2 linked regions of the Styela clava genome follow. The protein of the gene in region 1 binds, or shares a complex with, the protein of each later gene. Links are inferred from orthologs where the notes say so. Each region holds a gene or a part of one and is shown on either strand. Other genes may lie near its edges. The genes, in order: dynein regulatory complex subunit 3-like and dynein regulatory complex subunit 4-like.

Evidence for each region.
Region 2: dynein regulatory complex subunit 3-like (region 1) and dynein regulatory complex subunit 4-like share a complex: the UniProt entries of both Homo sapiens proteins name them as parts of the nexin-dynein regulatory complex. The link is inferred for Styela clava from reciprocal best matches to the Homo sapiens genes DRC3 and DRC4.

What each region holds. Positions count from the first base shown.
Region 1 is NC_135262.1:17,138,297-17,148,433, forward strand, and holds the start of dynein regulatory complex subunit 3-like, read right to left. Parts: upstream 3,931-10,137; 5' UTR 3,754-3,930; coding exon 3,594-3,753; intron 2,348-3,593; coding exon 2,231-2,347; intron 1,916-2,230; coding exon 1,749-1,915; intron 1,240-1,748; coding exon 1,093-1,239; intron 534-1,092; coding exon 414-533; intron 1-413. Other genes in the region: dynein regulatory complex protein 1-like, read left to right, coding at 5,933-8,023. UniProt on the Homo sapiens protein: Component of the nexin-dynein regulatory complex (N-DRC) a key regulator of ciliary/flagellar motility which maintains the alignment and integrity of the distal axoneme and regulates microtubule sliding in motile axonemes.
Region 2 is NC_135262.1:4,092,459-4,102,291, reverse strand, and holds the start of dynein regulatory complex subunit 4-like, read left to right. Parts: upstream 1-5,769; 5' UTR 5,770-5,923; coding exon 5,924-5,926; intron 5,927-6,756; coding exon 6,757-6,864; intron 6,865-7,694; coding exon 7,695-7,778; intron 7,779-8,147; coding exon 8,148-8,261; intron 8,262-8,871; coding exon 8,872-9,078; intron 9,079-9,688; coding exon 9,689-9,743; intron 9,744-9,833. UniProt on the Homo sapiens protein: Component of the nexin-dynein regulatory complex (N-DRC), a key regulator of ciliary/flagellar motility which maintains the alignment and integrity of the distal axoneme and regulates microtubule sliding in motile axonemes.

The sequences.
Region 1 (10,137 bases):
ACACTATTGTGGCCCACGAACAATACAAAAATAATTTTGTGGCCCGCGAAGTCGACAACCTTGGACCACCCTGCTCTATACCAAGTAGTGTCTACCTTTATTGTTGTGTAACAGATACGCAACAATAGATGCAAGACAGATACAATGTGACAAAAAGTAAACGACGTAGAAAGAATATTGATTCATATACACAGCATTTAGAATAAGAACCAATAAAACATTTATAATGAATACAATAAGTAAAATATTCAATCATATATAAGTTATGTTTTAACACAATTTTGTTAGTTTTCGAAGTGTACTTGGCAACTCAGTGTGGAGCACTAGTCAGAACCCTTCAGGAACAGCTGCCCTATATCACTTCCACATTCGTATAAATGAACAATACTCCCTGCTTCCTGATTTCATCTCACCTTTTCATTTTGTAATTCTTGTTCTTCTTCTTTTTTCCTTTCTAGTTCTTTTTCTTTCTGTTTTTCATTATGCATCAATTCTCCGAGCTTGTTTTCATAGAGATTGTGAGCTTTGTTCCTCTGTACATACAGTAAAATTTATATGAAATATGAAAGCACAGCTAATTTAATACCAAAATAAGTAAAAGTAAAGATGAAAAACTGTAAAATATGAACTGAAATTGTATGTAATGAAAAATTAATACATGAAATGAGTGACATTTTTGCTCTGAACAAGGTCATAGAAAAGTAGTTACAGACCTGGCTGGGCAGTAAGCGTTAGGAATACGCTCGCCCTGTACCTCCTATTACCCTGTGTTCGCAGGTTCGAATCCCATGCGGAGATATACCCCACATGGACTGGTAACTGGACAAGAGTTCGTGGTTTGCTGATTTCCTCTCCCCCGGAATAAATAGGTATGGTATGTAAATCCCAATCTATCTTTGTCGCACTGGATGAATGATGAGTATAGCATAGGGCTTAAAATTGAGCTATAGAACATATGACTTAATCATACTTAATAACAATGCACTAACAGAAATTGCATCTCATATAACCAACAACTTAAAAAATTCATAAAAAGTTAACTACAGTTAATTTCATTTTCACTGCAGATGAAACTAAATCACATACGCTTACCGTGTCTTCATCAATTAATCTGAAGTCCAAATACACGAGATGTGAGAGATAAGCGACAGTAAATAACCTATATCCTGGATCATCACATACGGGACAACCAGATAAATTCAATGTCCGTAAATTAGTGAAACGACGCAAGTAGATGAGCTGAAATAACATAATTCATAAAGGCTATACTTCAATATAATGTTGAGGAGACTCAAGCAGAGTCAATGACTAATGCACTGTTGTTCATGGAATACACTACAAATCGGGACAATAGCAATTTGACTGAATTTGTGACTTGACGTACAGTGACTTTAAATGGAACTCGAAGTTTAAATTTTGATGGACTTCGGATGACTCGGACCCTCAATTCAATCATTTTTGATTAAATATTGGGAAGTATTTGTTATAACTGATGTAGAAAATGCACAATCAGGGTTCCTCAAACTGGGCCCCCGCTTCATGTTAAAGTCAGAACTAGAAGAGCACGAGGTCACCGAAGGTCTTTGGAAGGATGCCACAAATCATAAACATTTGAAAAACACTGATTTAAATATTAGTTCCTTTCTAAAAGAAATACCAAATGAGCAAAAAAAATGAAAATTGCTCATTGAATCAACTTGAGTCTGATTACTGTATAATTCAAGGCGATTCACATGAATACTTCTTACATTGTCAAGCTGATTAAGCTTGTTATTTCCCACAGAAAGTACATGTAGATTTTTGAGGGAATCCATGTTTTCTAGTCGAGATATTCTGTTGCTGTACAAAGTCAGATCTTCTAACTTGGTCAATTTTGATAAACCTTCTAGCACTTCTATGTTGTTGAAAGACAAATCTGTAATTCATTGTATTTGAAATCAATATACAGTAATTAAAATTATATTTGAATACAAAAATAGGTTTACCAATTTATGATTGAAGCTTCTACTTCATGGTGAATTTAACTTTTTCAACTGTTATGTCAAAAAATTCCTTTCATTGTAAAATTTTTCTGACCTAAAGTCCTCCCCCCCTTCAAGATAATAAATGAATAAATAATAAAAAAGCAACGTAACTTGAGTTACATATGTCATTAAAACAATGATGGCAGGGAACACTAGAAAGAAGGATAGAAATAACATCTTATGATAAAATAAAGAGAGTATCATACCTAGCCATACTAAATTGACCAATTGATCTAATCCTTCAATTTTCTCAATAATATTGTCATCCAATTGTAATTTTGTCAGCTTTGTGAATTGCCAAAGATTATCAATCTTCAATATATCTGTAAATAAGTAAAAATAAAATGATGATACAAATTAAACAGAGCAGATAACTTATCCATTGCATTTATCACAAATGGGCATCAGTAATAAAGTTTTCTAATATTTGACCAAACTATCAAGAGCCATATTATTTAAGCTTTTATGGATTTAGCAAATGAGAAAAATAACTGCAAGATCTATGGAAAGATTGTAAATGAAAACTTGAGAGATAATTTAGACTGAAATTGACAGGTCAGAATATGAGTAGAAGGCTTCTACTTCATAAAATTATATTTACTAACACGTGTCAATCCTAACCCCTACCTGACAACACCATCCAAAAATGACGTCACTACGGCGTCACAGTGACGTAATAGAGCCCTTCAAACTATACGAACTGTCACCCAAGACGCGCAGAAGAGAACCCGAAATCGGACAGCTATTTCCCTCGTTTTTTCGCCGCAGCGATCCTGATAGGAGAGAGATCGCTGACGTTAGTCAGTTCTTCATCGTCGGCACCGATGCCATTTCGGGCGATCGGATGTGTGTTTGGCAAGCTCTATGACGTGATTGTGACGTCGTAGTGACGTAATTTTTGGATAGCGAAGTCAGGTGGGGGTTAGGACTGACTTGTAAAAAAATTGTTATGCTACGCCTAGTAGAAGTACAATGGGTACGAAACTACAGGAGACCCCTTTTTTCGAGTTCGGTAACACAACAGAGTGGAGCATGAAAATAGTTGACTCGTACAAACTTGTTAATTGTTTAATATGCACGACTTCCTAACTTCAAGTTTGAAATTTCATTATAATCACCACAAAATATGAATATTGTCCATTTAGCATAATATGTAAGATGTAATTTTTCCTGTTCCCTTCACTTAATAACTTCTATATGGTTGTGTGTGTGGGTGCGTGTGAGCGTGTGTGAAATATTTCAATTATTTTAGGTGAGTGAACACGTACCACATCTTCTTGGCAAAACCTTCCATCTTATATACATTCTGTACGTTTTAAACCTTATCTAGGGTTTTGTTCGCTCTCCTGATTTCATAATCAGTTTTTATTTATTTATTTTTAGCATTCATTTTATTGTTTTGCTGATTATGGAGTCGAAATAAACTTATACTTATTATACTTATAATATACCTAAAGTAAAAATAAAAACTAGCTAGCTAAGTTTTCAAAAAAAATTGTCTGTCATTGTATTTACAGGTTTATTTACCCTTTTTGTGATATATTTCGCCATAACGTTTTTACCACTTACTTCTAAAATCTAGTCTTAATGACAACACGTCTTTGTAATCAATTCCTTCTTGTTTTGCAATTCGACCAGCTTCTTCCTTCGGGCCTTGCTCTTCTACAGCTTTTCTGAGCATTTCATCGTCGATTACCGCAGGTTCAACGGTGTCATAAAGGCGACTCATTTTTGAATCAAATATATTCAAGGAAGGGAGATATGCAGAGGAAACAGAAAATGGAAAATCACGGCGCTAGCCGCTCACTACGAGCACCAAAAAAATAAGTGTTATTTGTTTAGTCTTTGGCAAGCACTTCGCGCTTCTGCGTTGCTATGGATTCGGGCTGTACTTTGCAAACGAAAGGATCCAAATTGTTGGTATAAATGTATTCACATAGATATAAAATACTTTGGATTGAATTTTTTTATGATATTTAAGCAAAAAAGGGATTCAGTATAAAATATCGTGAACAGATTGCCAATTTTTTCGCACCATTGGTTTTTATAATAACCATAGCAACCAGTCAAACGAAGCACTATCATCCAGGCATGACTAGTTGAAAAGGTTGATCGCGATTAGGAATGTAAGCATAGAATAGGTGTTCTATTTTCGAAACAAATTCTGTTTAGTGGTCTGTAGCATCGTGTTTTTGTTGAATTTAATTGCATTCGAACTATAGATAGGTTATTTTATGACTAGATAGCAGGAAATATGACTAGCAGGAAGACTTACCGGTACCGTAACACGGGTCGTCAGGTAAAAGTGAATGCGTCGAAATCGAACGCCTATTTTATTGTAGTCGAGACAAATACTGAAATATGCAGCTATGTAAGCTTTTTTTAAACAATAGCGGGTATAGGATTTTCATTTGATACTGACCGTCAGAGAATTCTCACAAATGTCGCTACTGATATATACAAAATGTGTTATTGTAGTGATTTTCTATAATTCTAAAAGTAGTGAGGTCTGAATGTCTTCCAGTGAGTCATGCCTAAATAGATATAATAGCAGTATCTTGGTCATTTAAAGACATCTTACTTAATTTAATGAGTTTTTGAGTAGTAGAGTAGATGTAGGGTGGTGTAGCCAGTCTGCGGACGATTTCATTCAAACCCCTATAAAACAAAAACCAATATTTCTAACCTGTTAATTTTTTCACCGTAGGTGCATTGGCATTCATTCTACACGCTGAACTTCGAATTAACTTTCTACGACCAGGGGTTAAAGCTATACAAACCACCAAAGTACGACACTCTGAAGACGTATTTGCGACCGAACGACCAGTGTGCGACCACGGATTTCAATCCTTGAACATCGTTTCTGCTGCGTCGAGACTAGATAATACGCAGCCATGCGTGAAAAAATGGGCTTCTAATTGCATTTCTGACCGTCATATATTTTAAGAATACGATTATTTCGAACAAAATTTTTCAAATTATAAACAAACACCGCATCACAGCAATCAAACAGACAAAAACACGGTGGTCGCAAATTAGTTGACAAAGATATTATTGACGTATTGGAAATGCGCACCCCCCTACTCCCCCTCCTTTGAAGGTAGAGACGCGAAACTTTAAAGATGGTTAAAAGAAACACAACTCTACCCACCTTCCAAGTTTCATCTTTTTATCTCTTATATTTGTATGGATTTTCAACCTTTTTTGAAGGAACAATGGGTAGTTGGCGACATGGTAAAATGGTCCGTTTTTTTTCTTCGGTCAGGTTTTCGGTCGTAACTTTTTCATTTATGGCCGCATTTTAGTGTAATTTCGTAGAGCTACGAGGGATAAGTGGACGATAACGCGTGAGAAATATCGGCGCGGTTCGTTAATTTTTTCGGCATTAATTTAATCGATGAAGTTGATGGTCGCAGATAGGTCATGGCCGCAAAGTGGGTAAGCCACCCTAAATGTAAGAATTTAAGAAAACTGAAGGAGACATGTTATTTGATGTTGTGACAACTAGACTTACTTCATCATGACATTGTCTCATTGCCCAATAATTTATTTAATAAAATTGAGCCATATTTTGGAGAATTGCTTCTTACCGATTTGAATTGGATTAAATTGAGTCACTTAGAAATTCAGAAACTCTTGATTGTGATGCACTGAGTGTTTGAAATGGCAGTGACTTTTTGTATAAACAAGGCAAACTAAAATATTCAGGTAACTGAATAAACTTCGGATTAATTTACTGGGTTTAACCCGGTATAAAAGTATCAAATCAATTCTTATAGCTATAGACATTCTCTGAATGACAGAGTAATTCTGATTCTGTGTTTTCTAATTATCACTAAGTAATATATCTTATTTTATGTCTATTTATAGTGTTAAATAGTTTTTGTGATTCATATCATACCACAAATATGTTACATGTTGACGATGGGGACGAAGAAAGTGGGCCTTCGGTTGAATCTGTAAATCCAGAAGAAAGAATCCTTGCTAGGAGGATCCGAATCCAACATAGAATCGAGCAGCTCAAAAGAGAAGCTCTGGGTGACGATGCTCTCATGAAAAAAGAAGTCAAAGAAGAACAAGGAAAGGGAAAAGAACAGATTGAAGAAAGTCGAAAACGCCTGAAAAAACTCCTTGGAGATGGTAATGAACTTGTAACAAATGTACGAGTTGCCGGTGATGCTCGTGAGTCTGGTCATCGAATTGTTGAAGAAGAAGCTAAACGAGCAAGGGTTGAAAAACTTGAAGCAGAAGCAAAGGCATCTGCTGAAAAATTCGATGAAATCAGTAAACGATGGTCAGCAGCTCGCATGAAGGAGATCCCTCAGGATTTACATGATATGTTGAAAGAGCAAACAACAGGTTGTGACGCTGTGATCGATGAAAAAAATAAATTGATAAATATTTTACAACAAGAGTTAAAACAAAAAGATGATGAATATGTCAAAGATTTGAAGAAGCAATCAGAAGATGTTGATCTCATTATTGAAAGAATGGAAGAACAAATTAAAAATCTAACAAAATCACACAGAGAAGAGCTGAGACAAATTGAAGATGCTTACACAGATGGTCGCAGTGATATGAACAAAGCTGATCGACGGAAATGGGATTCAATGATGCAGCAGAGACGAGATAAAGAAGAAGATCACATGAAACTGAGAGAAAAAAGAGTTGAGGAACATGAGCGCCAATTGGATCAACTTCGCACCCAGGATGCTGAAGAATATAACATGGTGAAGATTAAATTAGAAACTGATGTACAAATTCTGGAGCAACAATTGCAACAAATGAAAGCTACATATCAGTTAAATCAAGAAAAATTAGAATACAATTTTCAAGTCTTAAAAAAACGTGATGAGGAAAATACCATCACTAAGTCACAGCAGAAAAGAAAAATTACCAGACTTCAAGATGTCTTGAATAACCTTAGAATCAAGCTAGGAAAGCAGGAACGTTCATACAAAGATGAGAATCAATCACTCGTTGATGACTACAAAAGAATAGCAGAGCAATACAAGGAATTACATAAAAAGATGAAGCACTTCTCAGCAACTGATAACAAAAAATTTCATGATATCTGGTGTATGAATGAAGAAGAAGTACGAAAACTTGTTGATAAAGTTTTGAATACAGACTGCATCATACATCAGCAACAGCTTGGCTTGCCGTGGTCTGCTCCTGATACCGCATTCATGGATTCCCGTGGTCCATTGCTGGCAGCTACAGAAGGAAAGGAAAAATCTGCTTTGATGATGGCCAAAGAAGTTTTGGCATCAGTGGCAAAACCAAAACAGGATGATAGTTTGCCTTTGACATTTGATGATGAAAAGTCTCATTCAAGTACAAAAGTTTCTTTGAGTGCTGTTAAGAAAGTCTTGGAACTATTATGTGATGAGGCTGGATTTCTTGTCGAGGAAAAGTTGAACAAGCTGTTACGTCCCCTTCAAAATGAAGAAAGGTCATTGATCAAGCTGGATGCAATATTTAAAGCTTTAAATATCGAATCAGAGGATGACATCCATAAATTGGCAGCCTTTTTTGCTCAACACAAAGAAAAACTCAGTGACGAAGTGAGTGAATCATCTCTTGATCATGAAGTGTCATCTACTATGGACGGGAAAGAAAATATGCATCCAAATGAAGTTTTAAAGGTTTTGAAACAATTTGTTCAAGAACATATCAAACCTACAGAAAGAAGAAAATCGAAAGGTACAAACAAACTGACTGCACCAGGACGTGATGGCTCGCAAGACGAACAATTTTGGAAGTCAATGGCAAACATCATTCCAGAGCACAAACTGAAGATGTGGGATGCACTGACACAAGCGTTTGACAAGTATCACAAAGTACTCACAGAGAGAGATGTTAAAATAAAAGAAACAGACAGCCTTAGGCAACAGAATGCAGAACTGAGAATGCTACTCCACCAATACATCACTTCCGAAGTCAACAGAGAGCTCGAGATTCCACCAACTCGTGTCCTTCAACTTGAATACAGCTAAAAAACATGTGCTTCTCCTAATATTTTGCTCTTCTTTAACAATATTATTTTGGTTTTGTAGTCACTGTCGATTGTTTTTTCTATATATATATTGTTATCATCAAAACAATTATAAAAATTACCTTCAACAATGCGATGTTCAAATGCAATTCTTTATACCAATGATTTAGTAGTGAATCTTTACTTTAGTAGCTTTATTAACTATTTACCTAACAAAGGAACTACGCCTGAAACACAACCGGGCATAGATTCATTGTGAGGTGAAACTACACCGTAGACGTGTTTCAGCGCATTAGTCATTATATTTTAGTGGTATGTTAGTTGTTGGCTGATACCGATATTAAACGCAGTGGGTACAGCTTGTCCTCAATAAATTTTGAATGTAACACAAAGAATAACTCACGCAGGAGTGAGAGTTTTGAGGGCCGCCTGTTTTTATAATTATTGTTTGTATTCCTTCTGCTATGCTCATCTTATCTACCAAGATTTCATGTTATATTTTGATGTGTAAATTGAGAAAACCACATATGTAATTTATTTTAAAAGTTTGCGTTAGGGAGCGCGAAATACTTAATTAAGAAACATACGTATGGTAGGAAGTAATGTACTGATACAATAGAGATTTGTAAATAATTAGCTTTGAATGTCTTTCTAGACAACTTTTTGTATTTCAAGATTTGATTTTTCAGATAACCTCAGTTCATCGAAGCTGTCGTTCAAACTGTTTCTGATCTAGCAAGCTAATGTTTTGCCAGATAATCATAACTAAAACCAAGGTATTATTATCCGTGCACCTTAATAGTTTTTAATTTTCAACGTTTCGATCGGTATTCAATTGAGTGTTCTTTCGGTGCATTTTGCTTTGTTGGTGACAAAAAATCGTGTCGGTTAGAATGAGTGAATGCCAAAAAGAATGCTTCGGCATGCTGGGTAGGCATCGTCAAGTCATGACACCCACTCTTTGTGATTGCTTCAAATATTGCAGTGAGCGTTTTATCCGTGCATTTTTCTTTGCTGGTGACAAAAAATCGCTGCAAGCATCGGTTAGAATGAATGAATGTCAAAAAACATACTTCGGCATGATGATCGGACATCGGCAAGTCATGACACCCACTCTTTGTGATTGCTGCAAAAATTCCAGGAGAAAGAATTACCAATTGGCTCGACGGTGTGGCGCATCGTGCTAAGCGTTAGGAATACGCTCGCCACCGCATCTTTGGTTAACCTTCGTGGTATCGCAGGTTCGAATCCCATGCGGGGATGATCATGTGCGAGAGGATTGCTGGACTCCTCGCCGCCGTAGGGTGGTTCACGTAACCGCTGGTCGGTTACGGCTTCCCCCACCATCAAGTCCATGCTTCCGAAAAAACAAATACCTGGCTAACTAATCCCATACCCGACCTGGACTGGTAACCGGGCGAGAGGCCGTGGTTCGCCATATCATTAAGCCGTCTTATCGGATTTCCTCTCCTTCGGGATAAATATGTAAATCCTATCCTAATAATAATTATCTGATTTCATTTACCTGTCATATTGATAAACATATTTTAAAAAAATACAGATGTGGATTGTGGACCAAGGTCCACGAAGTTTGCCATGAACTTTAAGTTAATTTTTTTGTTCAACCAGCGAACGTCGAACTGAAAAAGCGCTCTTGAAACAATGTAACACACCACAACTTTCTGAAGACGATAAGTCAACCACCCCAGTCACATCAGATTATTGATGTTTACTTGACGTCAAATATACCTCACATTCCCATGCAGCAAAATTTCAATAGTTGGATAGATACCTGGGTTTACGAAATTCAATACAGAAATATGAAGTTTAGGCTCTAAACTCAATCAGATGACTTTTCCAGATTCATTTTTACTACTATTTGGTGTTAAATGTATTCCAAATAACTAGCGTCTTTTTATTGAGATCTCTAGCCGGAGTCTAAAAGGAGTATTTTTCCGCAATTAAAGTAAATATTTCTCTCTATCCCGGCAGCTCACCCGGTACATCTTCGAGTTAAATTGTGAAACTAACTAATATTATCCGATCGCTTCAAACGGCCAGTAATTGAAAATTTCAAGCAATAGAATTTCCAATCGGTCTGCAAGGGGGCTTTCC
Region 2 (9,833 bases), about 13 Mb from region 1:
CCTAAACTTTGGAAACAATTTGAGCTGGTATACACATATTAGGAAATTTCGAAGTCGTTTTTGTGTAAATATTTATAGGTGATTTTGGAAGCCAAATTTATTTTGGTGTCATTATTCACGATACACTTATTGGTGATATTTAATGAAATATACAAAGTTATGAATTATTTTTCCAAATTGTACGAACTATTGGTCCAACTTCTCATTCCTTTTGAACTTTTCACGACCCGCACGTGGATTCAGTGGCTTTAACTTCCCCAAATTTGCTATTTTTGTGAAGAATAAGTAAATTCAATCTATATTTTTCGTGTAGTTCAAAATCAGGTTTCCAAGACTTGTTCCGATTTAGGAATTCACACGAGGGTTAAATTGATCATGAGACCATTGTATATACACATCATTAAATACTTATTTAGTCTCAAAACTTTTTTGCTAGCTAATATTAAAACTCTAATAATATTTAGCTATGACTATGTAATGAATGAGTGTTGGGTCTTTAGGTTAATTTGTTCTTTGTGTGAATCCTTGACTTTGAGATGTTGTACATTTTTTTCCCTTTTGTACATTTGAGTTCAGTTTTGTATGAGTAACTTATTTGTTTTTTGATATTTATTTCTTAGGAAATTTTGTCAATGAAATATTGCTCTGTCTGCTGATATGTTTTCCTTTCTCTTCGCTTTCCACTTGAAACTAAATGCAGCCTATTTTCTGTAACATGTTCGCCAGAGTCCATTGTTGTTTATGGCCTTCGGTAAACTTGCATAGAACCTAGACATATAGTTTATGAGATATAATAAGATTGAGAATTCCCAACAGTGAACAAAACCTCCCTTGTATATTAAGCAGGGTGTTATCTCATTTTAGGGTGAGACTAATGAACTTTAAATGGGTGTCCTATCATTTTATTAATAATATTTGATTCTGTTACATAGAAACGAACGATTTGAACGATAAAATGAATAAAACAACGATTCTGTTTTAAATAACTATTAGAATATTAAATGAATGATAACAGAAAGAATTATCTATTTTAAACAATTGATTAATTTTTAGGTCCCGGAGAAAATATTCATGATTGGCTGAACTGTGAAGCTGGTTGTGTTATAGTTGAAGTTTGGAATTTGCTCTATTTTATTATGTCTATCACCTGTTTTTTAAGTTGTACAATGCTTCTTGTTCACTGACTGAACATGGGGTGCCTGATATTTGCTAAAGTAATGATTTCCATAAGCTACAAATCTTGTTTCTGTGAAACATGGTTCTTACAAAATATTGTGAATGTAAATTACAATCTGTTGCTGCAGCCTCTACATCTGAATTTTTATTATTGTTTGATCCAGAAAACTGACTTTGTAGAGAAAAGCTGGTATTTTTGTAATTATCTGTCAAATGGTCATCAATCAGTGCAGTCCTGTCCCGGTTTCTTCAATCAATGGCTCAAAGCGTTTTATGTGACTCCAGTTCCCACGACCTCGTTTTGAGTGCAATGAATTATGTGGGCAATTCTGTTAGGTTCCAAAATATAGCAACTTTCTAAATATTGCATACTATGTTACGGCCTCGTTCAGAAAGAAGGTAATAAAACGACGTATAAAAGTAGTTTCCAGTAAATAATACTAATGACAAGAAAATTTAGTTATTTTGAGAAAATCTAGATGTCACACTCTAAAGTTCAGAGCTAGGTTTGCCAAAAAATACATTTTTGACGAAAGACCTTTTTTGAGACGCAAAGTTGTAAGCCTAATCGCTTTGCGGTTATTCACATGCTATCTGGGTTGTTACTGTCTTATCGTAAATACTCTTTCCCGGATTTCTTGGAAGAGAGGGTTATGCTGGGCTCCTAGTCATCGTAGACTAGACTAAATACAATATGAAAGAAATATAATAATAGAAGTCGGTAAGACGTTTTATTCATTTTCGCCCAAAAATTGTCCGTGATCGCATGGAGGTTTACTCCAAGTCCTTAAAACTAAAAACTATTCCGTTATCTTATAGCCGTCTTATCATTCCGCGGATTGATGCGAGAGGAATTCTAACCTTTGTAGTCAAACATGGCCATGGTGTCTGAAATCCTCTGAGTCGATCATGTTTGCTGATGACACTAACTTGATTCTTCATGGGGAAAACCTTGAAGATCTATTCACAGTTGCAAACCAAGAACTAACCAACATTCATAGCTGGATGTTAGTTAATAAATTATCTCTGAATGCTAACAAAACTAAATTTGTATTATTCCATCCAAGCAAGCATAAAAGTGTGAGTTGTTCAAAAAAACTACTGCTCAATGGCAATGAAATTGAAAGAGTGAAAGAAATAAAATTTCTAGGAGTTATCTTTGATGAAAATCTGTCATGGAAATCACAAATAATGCATGTTATTGCTAAAACAAAAAGAAACCTAGCAGTTTCTGCCAAAGTATCCCAGTGTGTTGACCAATCAGCTCTACTAGCAATGTTTCAATCATTACTACTTAGCCATATTCGATATTGTTGTTCAGTCTGGCTTCATGGTAATAAAACACTTGTCTCAAAACTGCAGAGTATTTGTAATAATTTTTTAAGAATAGTTTTTGGTAAAAGAAAACGTGAAAGTGTAGACTCTTACTTCAAATCACTAAATATACTTAAGGTTGAAGATATGATGAAATTTGAAATATTATCTCTAGCTCACGACTTCATAATAATGCGCTGCCCAATTGCTTTAATGACATACTTGTCAAAAATACCTCCAACCGAAGAAGTAGTTCTGATTTATTCGTACCTTTCATGAGTAAATCCGTGAGTCAGCATTCCTTGTCTTTTACTGGACCCAAACTTTGGAATTCTCTTCCCTTAAATTTGAAGACGTTAAAGTCCAAAAAATCTTTTCAAAAACAAGTCAAGTCTCATTTAGTTTCCAAATATTAAATATTAAAAATTACTACTGGTGGTATTCGATGACAAAAACTTGGGACACTCCACACTTGCACATTATTGTTTTAATGAAAATGTTGAACAGCTATAATAATACTGTGCCACGACTATAATAATATCTTGCCACGACTTGGCCAGAACTAGTCCAGCACCAAAGAAATGGTATTGTGACATGCATGAGTATATATATATTTTTTTAAATATACAGGTAGCTAACGTACTCAGATGATATTTTCTTTAAATAACTGCACGCATTCTATCACTTCACGCTCGTGTTTTTATCTTTTTCTAGCTGTGATGTCCCTATCATACACGCTTGGTCTTATGTTTGAGTGGTGGTATAAGGGTTGTAGATAGTACAATATTGTTCCTGCAAGGTTACTAATTATTGCAACTAGGCGAGCAGTAGAGCTATGTTGGATTCTCCCCTTCAGATTTTAATTTGCTGTGGGTCATTGTAATTGGATGTGGTTTTTATATCATTTATGTATGCATGCGTTTTATGTTAAGGCATGGTGTTTGAGTTGACTTGTTGGCCAAGGTATAGATAGTAAAATTTTGTGTGTTTTTTGCATGGTGTGATAAATTTTTCTCTGTCCCAAGCAGAATGTCATCATAGATCATCTATCCATCGCTATATAATGACAATACATCCCATTTAATTAAACAATTATTTTTTGCCTGTAATAAATAGTTCAGAGCGTTCCCCTTCACCCAATCATTGAAACATCTACTCGCAGTTTTATTTTTTGTTTTTCAGGTTACTTCAAAGTGATTAAATGAAGTAAAACACATAAGGAAAAAAACAAAAAAGACTCCCGATATCCTGTGAAATAACAACCTCATTCCCATATCCTTGTCTGAAATCAATACCCAAGAATGAAAAACCTCACTTACACCCTTTGTAACCAATTTATTTCCACATCCTACTTTACTTAATTATAGTAATTTTACTGTTACCGGTAACTTAATTACTTATTACAATCTGGACTATAATTTGGCAATAATAGGCTCTAATTTGGGGAATGAAATGGTCTCGCCCACCTCTTCATGCACCCAATTCTGGCAACTTTGGTTGGGCAACTTGGCATTTGACTCCAACTATAATCAGCTTGGCAATATGTTTTCAATAGAATCTTCCTTTTATATACCTAATTAACGATTAGAAGATCGATCAATTTGGCAATGGCAACCATTACAAAAATATCAATATGGTGTGGCAGATAATTTTCTTTTCTAGTATTTATTTATTTATTTTTTTGCTTACTGTATAGTATACCCTAAATTTATCGCGTTTCATTCTTACTTAAATAACTTCTCAGTGGTTGTGTGTGTGTGTGGCTGGTGGGTGCATGTGAGCGTGTGTGAAATAACTTGATAATTTTAGGTGAGTAAACACGTACCACTTCCTCTTGGCAAAACCTTTCATCTTATATTTTGTACGTTATAAACCTTATCTAAGGTTTTGTTTGCTCCCCTGATTTCATAATCAGATTTTATTTATTTGTTTTATCTGTCAAATGTATTGTTATGCTGATTATGGAGTCGAAATAAACTTATACTTATACTTATATACTTATACATCTTAAATCAAATAACGATATTACGATCGAGAGAATGTCGGGCGTTTTTTTAATTCTCTCCTTATTTATATAAAATATTTCGATTCACCTACCTCGTCGCGTCGATGGTGTAACGGTTAGCATTGTTGCCTTCCAAGCAATAGTTCCGGGTTCGACTCCCGGTCGACGCACTTTTCTCTATCTGTCCCATTTTTGAATAAGTTTTAAGCATTCGGTTACCGAAGCAAAAATGCTTTTATTATTGAACAAGATATTGAACTCGAACTAATTGACCTATGGGTGGCAGTTGGAGGTATTTGACGCACACAAACTTTTGTAAAGTCTTGTTTTTCTGACGTTATTTTTACGTGTATATTTCAATTTTGTTTTCAATTCCGTTAGATGATAGATAATGATTTATTTTCCGAATATATCAAAAAATGTAAAATTACAATAAATGGAAAAGAACAATTATAGAATATAATCGGGAGGGGACGGGCGAGACTGCAAGGTCAACTATGGCCACCGACCCCTAAAAAAAGAGAAATTCCTATTATGACAAGACATTCGGGAGTCATGAGAAAACAAAGGCTGTGTATAGATTATTACCTCGATTAATCACAATGATTATTTATTTGATGGGTTACACGTAACATTTCCAAAGATATAATAATATAAGAAGGGGGTACGGCGTTACGTTATACACTTTTGTGTTGTGTTTGCATTGATTCTTGCATGATAAAAATAATTTATCTGAATCTTTCGCATGTAGTTATTTTTCAACTTGCATTTCATATCATATTTGCTTTTTTAGTCAATATATTGCATTTTATGAGAAATTGACCGTCGTGAGATATTTTAATTTGTTTTTATTTATGTTAGTTAACTTATAAATTTATTGAATATCGTAACGAGGGTTCGTCTTTTAGTGATATTTTTGTTTTCAGACAATATTTAACAATTATTTTATATTATGAGGGAAGAAATGATCCCAAATTGATTTTATGAAAAAGCGAGCACGCCAGGATTCGAACCTGGAATCTTCTGATCCGTAGTCAGACGCGTTATCCATTGCGCCACGCGCCCGCACGGCTCCGAGTCACAGAAATTGTATATACATTTTACGGCTCGCTGACCTTTTTTTTGAACTTGTTTGTTCACATTAGTTTTTTTGTATTAGATTGCACTCTTATATTACGTAAAACATTTTTTATAACATGTATTACATGTCTATTTAATTCCAATCCTTGTAATTTTATTTTTTAAAACTCATTTTCGTTCATTGTTGAGAGATATCATGCGTGAAATATCACTCACGTAAATACGAAAATTACCATAGTAACACCGAGAGAAAATTTGATTTCCGTGCTTGTTCGCCTTGCTTTACTTTTTTGGTGTTGCCTTCCAAGTTTTCCCGTCTGGTTGCATTTCGAACGGCAAATCTTCATAATGGTAAGTGTCATATAAGTTTTAGTGTTATATAACTTTATTTCAAAATCTTGGTTATGAATAACCGACTATTTTCAACTCTGGAGCTTAGGAAGCCATTGATTTGGCGGCTCTAGCACCGGGACAATGGGGGAGTTTTTTAATTATCCCTGTTTTAATCTTATCATTTCTTAGAAATTCTACTTTTTTTGTCTAAATGACTAGGGTTGGAATTTGTTTAAAATAATAAATCTGTAAATACTCCCCAGATAAAAATACTACTTGATGCCTCTTTTTTCGGGATCTTCGGCGTGGCGGTGTGGCTCATCGTGCTAATCGTTAGGAATACGCTCGCCACCGCACCTCTAATTACTCTGCGAATCCCAGGCGGGGGGAGGGCTATGTGCGAGAGGATTGCTGGACTCTCGCCGCTGTAGGGTGGTTCACGTAACCGCTGGTCTGTTACGACTTCCTCCACCATCAAGTCCATGCTTCCGAAAACAAATAACTAACTAATCCCATACCCGACATGGAATGGTAATCGGACGAGAGGCCGTGGTTTGCCATATGGTTAAGCTGTATTATCGGCTTTCCTCTCCCCCGGGATAAATATGTAAATCCTATCCTATCTTATTCTGTCTCATTGAAGTCAAAGATGAAGCCACATTCTTGATTTTTCATAGTGTGATGGTCCAACCCAAAATTTCTGGAGTAAGGAGTTTGAAATGAAAAGTAAATTAAATTACTAGAATTAAAAATCAAGCAATCTCTACCCATAAAATCATTGAATAAAGCCTAGTATTAAATTTATGTACTGTAGTTGGCTATTTTCTAATTGTTTCATGCTTTTGCAGCCTCCCAAAAAAGGGAAGAAGGGAAAAAAGGGCAAAAAATCTGCGAAAAAGCCCAAAACCCCGACCGTCGTAGATGGAATGTCAACTGAAGAAATGTCAAAGGAGCAGGTATGTTCTATAAAGTAATGTTTAAACCAGTTTCAAATCTAAATTTTGAAACATAGTTGTATCGCTATGAACTAGGGGTGTGCAAACTTTAAAGAGGAGTGCCAGATATTATTAATACCCCAGTATAACCGGGGGTCGCACCTTTATTTAACATAGGCTTTCTAGTAGTTTTGGTAATTGATCTTATGACATGTGTTGTTTGCTTCTCATGAGCTAGCTGTTAGGGTATTATAACCTCATAGGCATAGATCAGCCGTTCCCAAAAGGTGCAGCGAGTGGCTAAATTCGCCGCGAAAATTAACGGAATTGTGTTAAACATTACTAAAATATGTTTGCATTTTTTAAATGTTCTATAAATGTCCTATTGTTTCTTATTTTAAATGCTGTGTGTATCAATCAATGAATTCATTTTACCCTTCTATGTCGCTTACTTTCTGTTACGTATTTGCCTCAAATGTCACGTAACACTTCAACAACAAGACGTGGCTGACCAGTCATCAGAATGTGCGAAATTACGATGGCGATATCAAAATAAATGGTTCCTTAATTTCCAAGCCCATTGGCTTCTTAAACTTGGGTGGGTGCATTTGCAAAGCTTTGTTTTGAGTGACTGTATGAGACATGAATCACTTAAAACTAATCGGTTAGGCAGTAATTGAAAGTTATACACAAGCAGATGCTATATACTAATCCATGATACTGAACTACCCGTATATATTTGCTGAATGTTCTTTCCCATTGTTTAAATTTTATACTTCTCAATAGTTTTTTTATTTTTTATTTATTAATAAAAACATCACTTTTTATCCACACGATCCACTTCTCAATAGTTGGAGGAGCACATTGGTCGACTTCGTGAAGAATTGGAAAGAGAGAGAGAGGAAAGGAATTATTTTCAACTTGAGAGAGATAAGGTTTGTTTTGATTGTTATTGCGCAATAATTACTAATTATGAGTCAATAACAATGGATTTCCTTGTGTTAAATCTTTATTTTAAAAGAAAATGTGAAAAATTAAAATTAAAAGTGAAATCACTTAGATGTAAATGAGACTCAATTTGGACCAAATTCATGGGCGACCTCTGAAATACAAAAGATATTGTGATAGATATCATAAAATTTTCTTGACTTCATTTTTTAGACGATTGAATTTTTTGATAAATGGTGACTCGTGACTCCACAACACTGGTAATTAATGTTGCAAATTTTTCTTCTTAAAAACAAAGTATATAATAAAGTAAGGGTTATAATAATTAATCAAATTTTTCAAAAATTTTCTTTCAGGTCAACACATTCTGGGAAATCACAAAGCGACAATTGGAAGAGAAGAAAGCTGAATTGAGAAATAAAGATCGAGAAATGGAAGATTCAGAAGAAAGACATCAAATTGAAATTAAAGTTTGTCTCATTTGTATATACTGGGATATAATTCTATATTCATCATTATAAAGGACGACCTATCTATATGGTGAACCAGTCCTTCATCTATTTGTATGTCTGCCTGTTGTATTTTTTGCCGTAATATGCCATGCAAAATTGAGCCACTTGTGAAAATAGTCGAATTGAGAGTAAATGTAAAGTTTGTTTTTAACCTACATAATCAGCATAACAGACAAAAAATAGTTACAAAAAAATATACAAACTGGTTACAAAATCAGAAGAGCAAACAAAACCTTAGGCAAGGTGAAAACAGGTTTAAAACGAAATTCAAATAAAAAGATGTTGTCATAAAGTTATAATATTAAGTCCTACACACATATGACCACAGAGATATAAGGAATTTAGAGATGATGGGCTCTGCATATTTTATTGAAATCATAAAACGGTTGAACATTAATAAAATAAGTTTTAGGGATTCCTGATATGGCAAATATTATTGTCATAAAAGTCTATAAAATTCTAAATTAGTTTTTATTCATGCATTTGTCATTGTCGTGTGGGCTTTGCTCCAAATTTTAATACCAGACTAATCCATCTATGTTGTCTTATTTGATCTTGTGTATCCCAGGTATACAAGCAAAAAGTCAAACATCTTCTGTACGAGCATCAGAACAACATTTCAGAATTGAAAGCAGAGAGTTCGGTGGCTTTGAAGTTATCGCAGGAAGATCACAGGTTACAGGAGACAGACCTCAGAAAAGATAAAAGGTCATTGAAGGTCAATTTGAAAGAACAGGAATTATCTCATGAGGAATCTGTGAAGAATCTTGTGAAGGTATGAGACTAACTTTTCATTATTTTGTTCAATGAAAACTATTCATTTTACATGGTAATTTTAAATATATTTTGATTGTGGACTTTTCTCAGATTCATTACAAGCTCAATTTTAATTACTTATTGACAAATTTGAATATATGAAAGGTAAATTACCTAGAAATACCTAACACAAGTAATAATACCGCACTAGCAAAGGACAGTAATTTGGTGGGGGGTTGGCAATATTATTCCCTGTGTAGGTACAGATCTAAGCTATATTGATTTTGCCATCAAAAATAGGTCTTTTGTCAAATAGCTGTAAATTTTGAGTTGCTTTTTAAAAACATTGCTGTGCAACATTTTTTACCCAACATTTTTCACTTCCCTATGCATCATTATTTTTATACTATTTTCATGATATCAGTTATGTTTTTGACCTTTGATGTGTAACGATATGTCAATTAATAGGAGTTTGCAATGTGTTGCAACTGTAGGATTGTGGGTACTAGGTACCTGGGTAGTCTGTTTTAATTTAATTTTCTAAGCCGATCTCCTCTAGTATTGTTATGAATGTTATATATTTTCATAGTATCCAAATATCTCAATTTCTTTTCCCGTCCTCAACCTAGAAACAAGACGAACACATCACTCAGTTGAGAGAAGATTTCGAAAGACAAGCAAGAGGTATGCGGTGTCAACTTTTGGCTTGATACTGTGTTTCCCCGAAAATAAGACCTAACCCGGTCTTTTTTAAATGGAAACATGTTATTTATA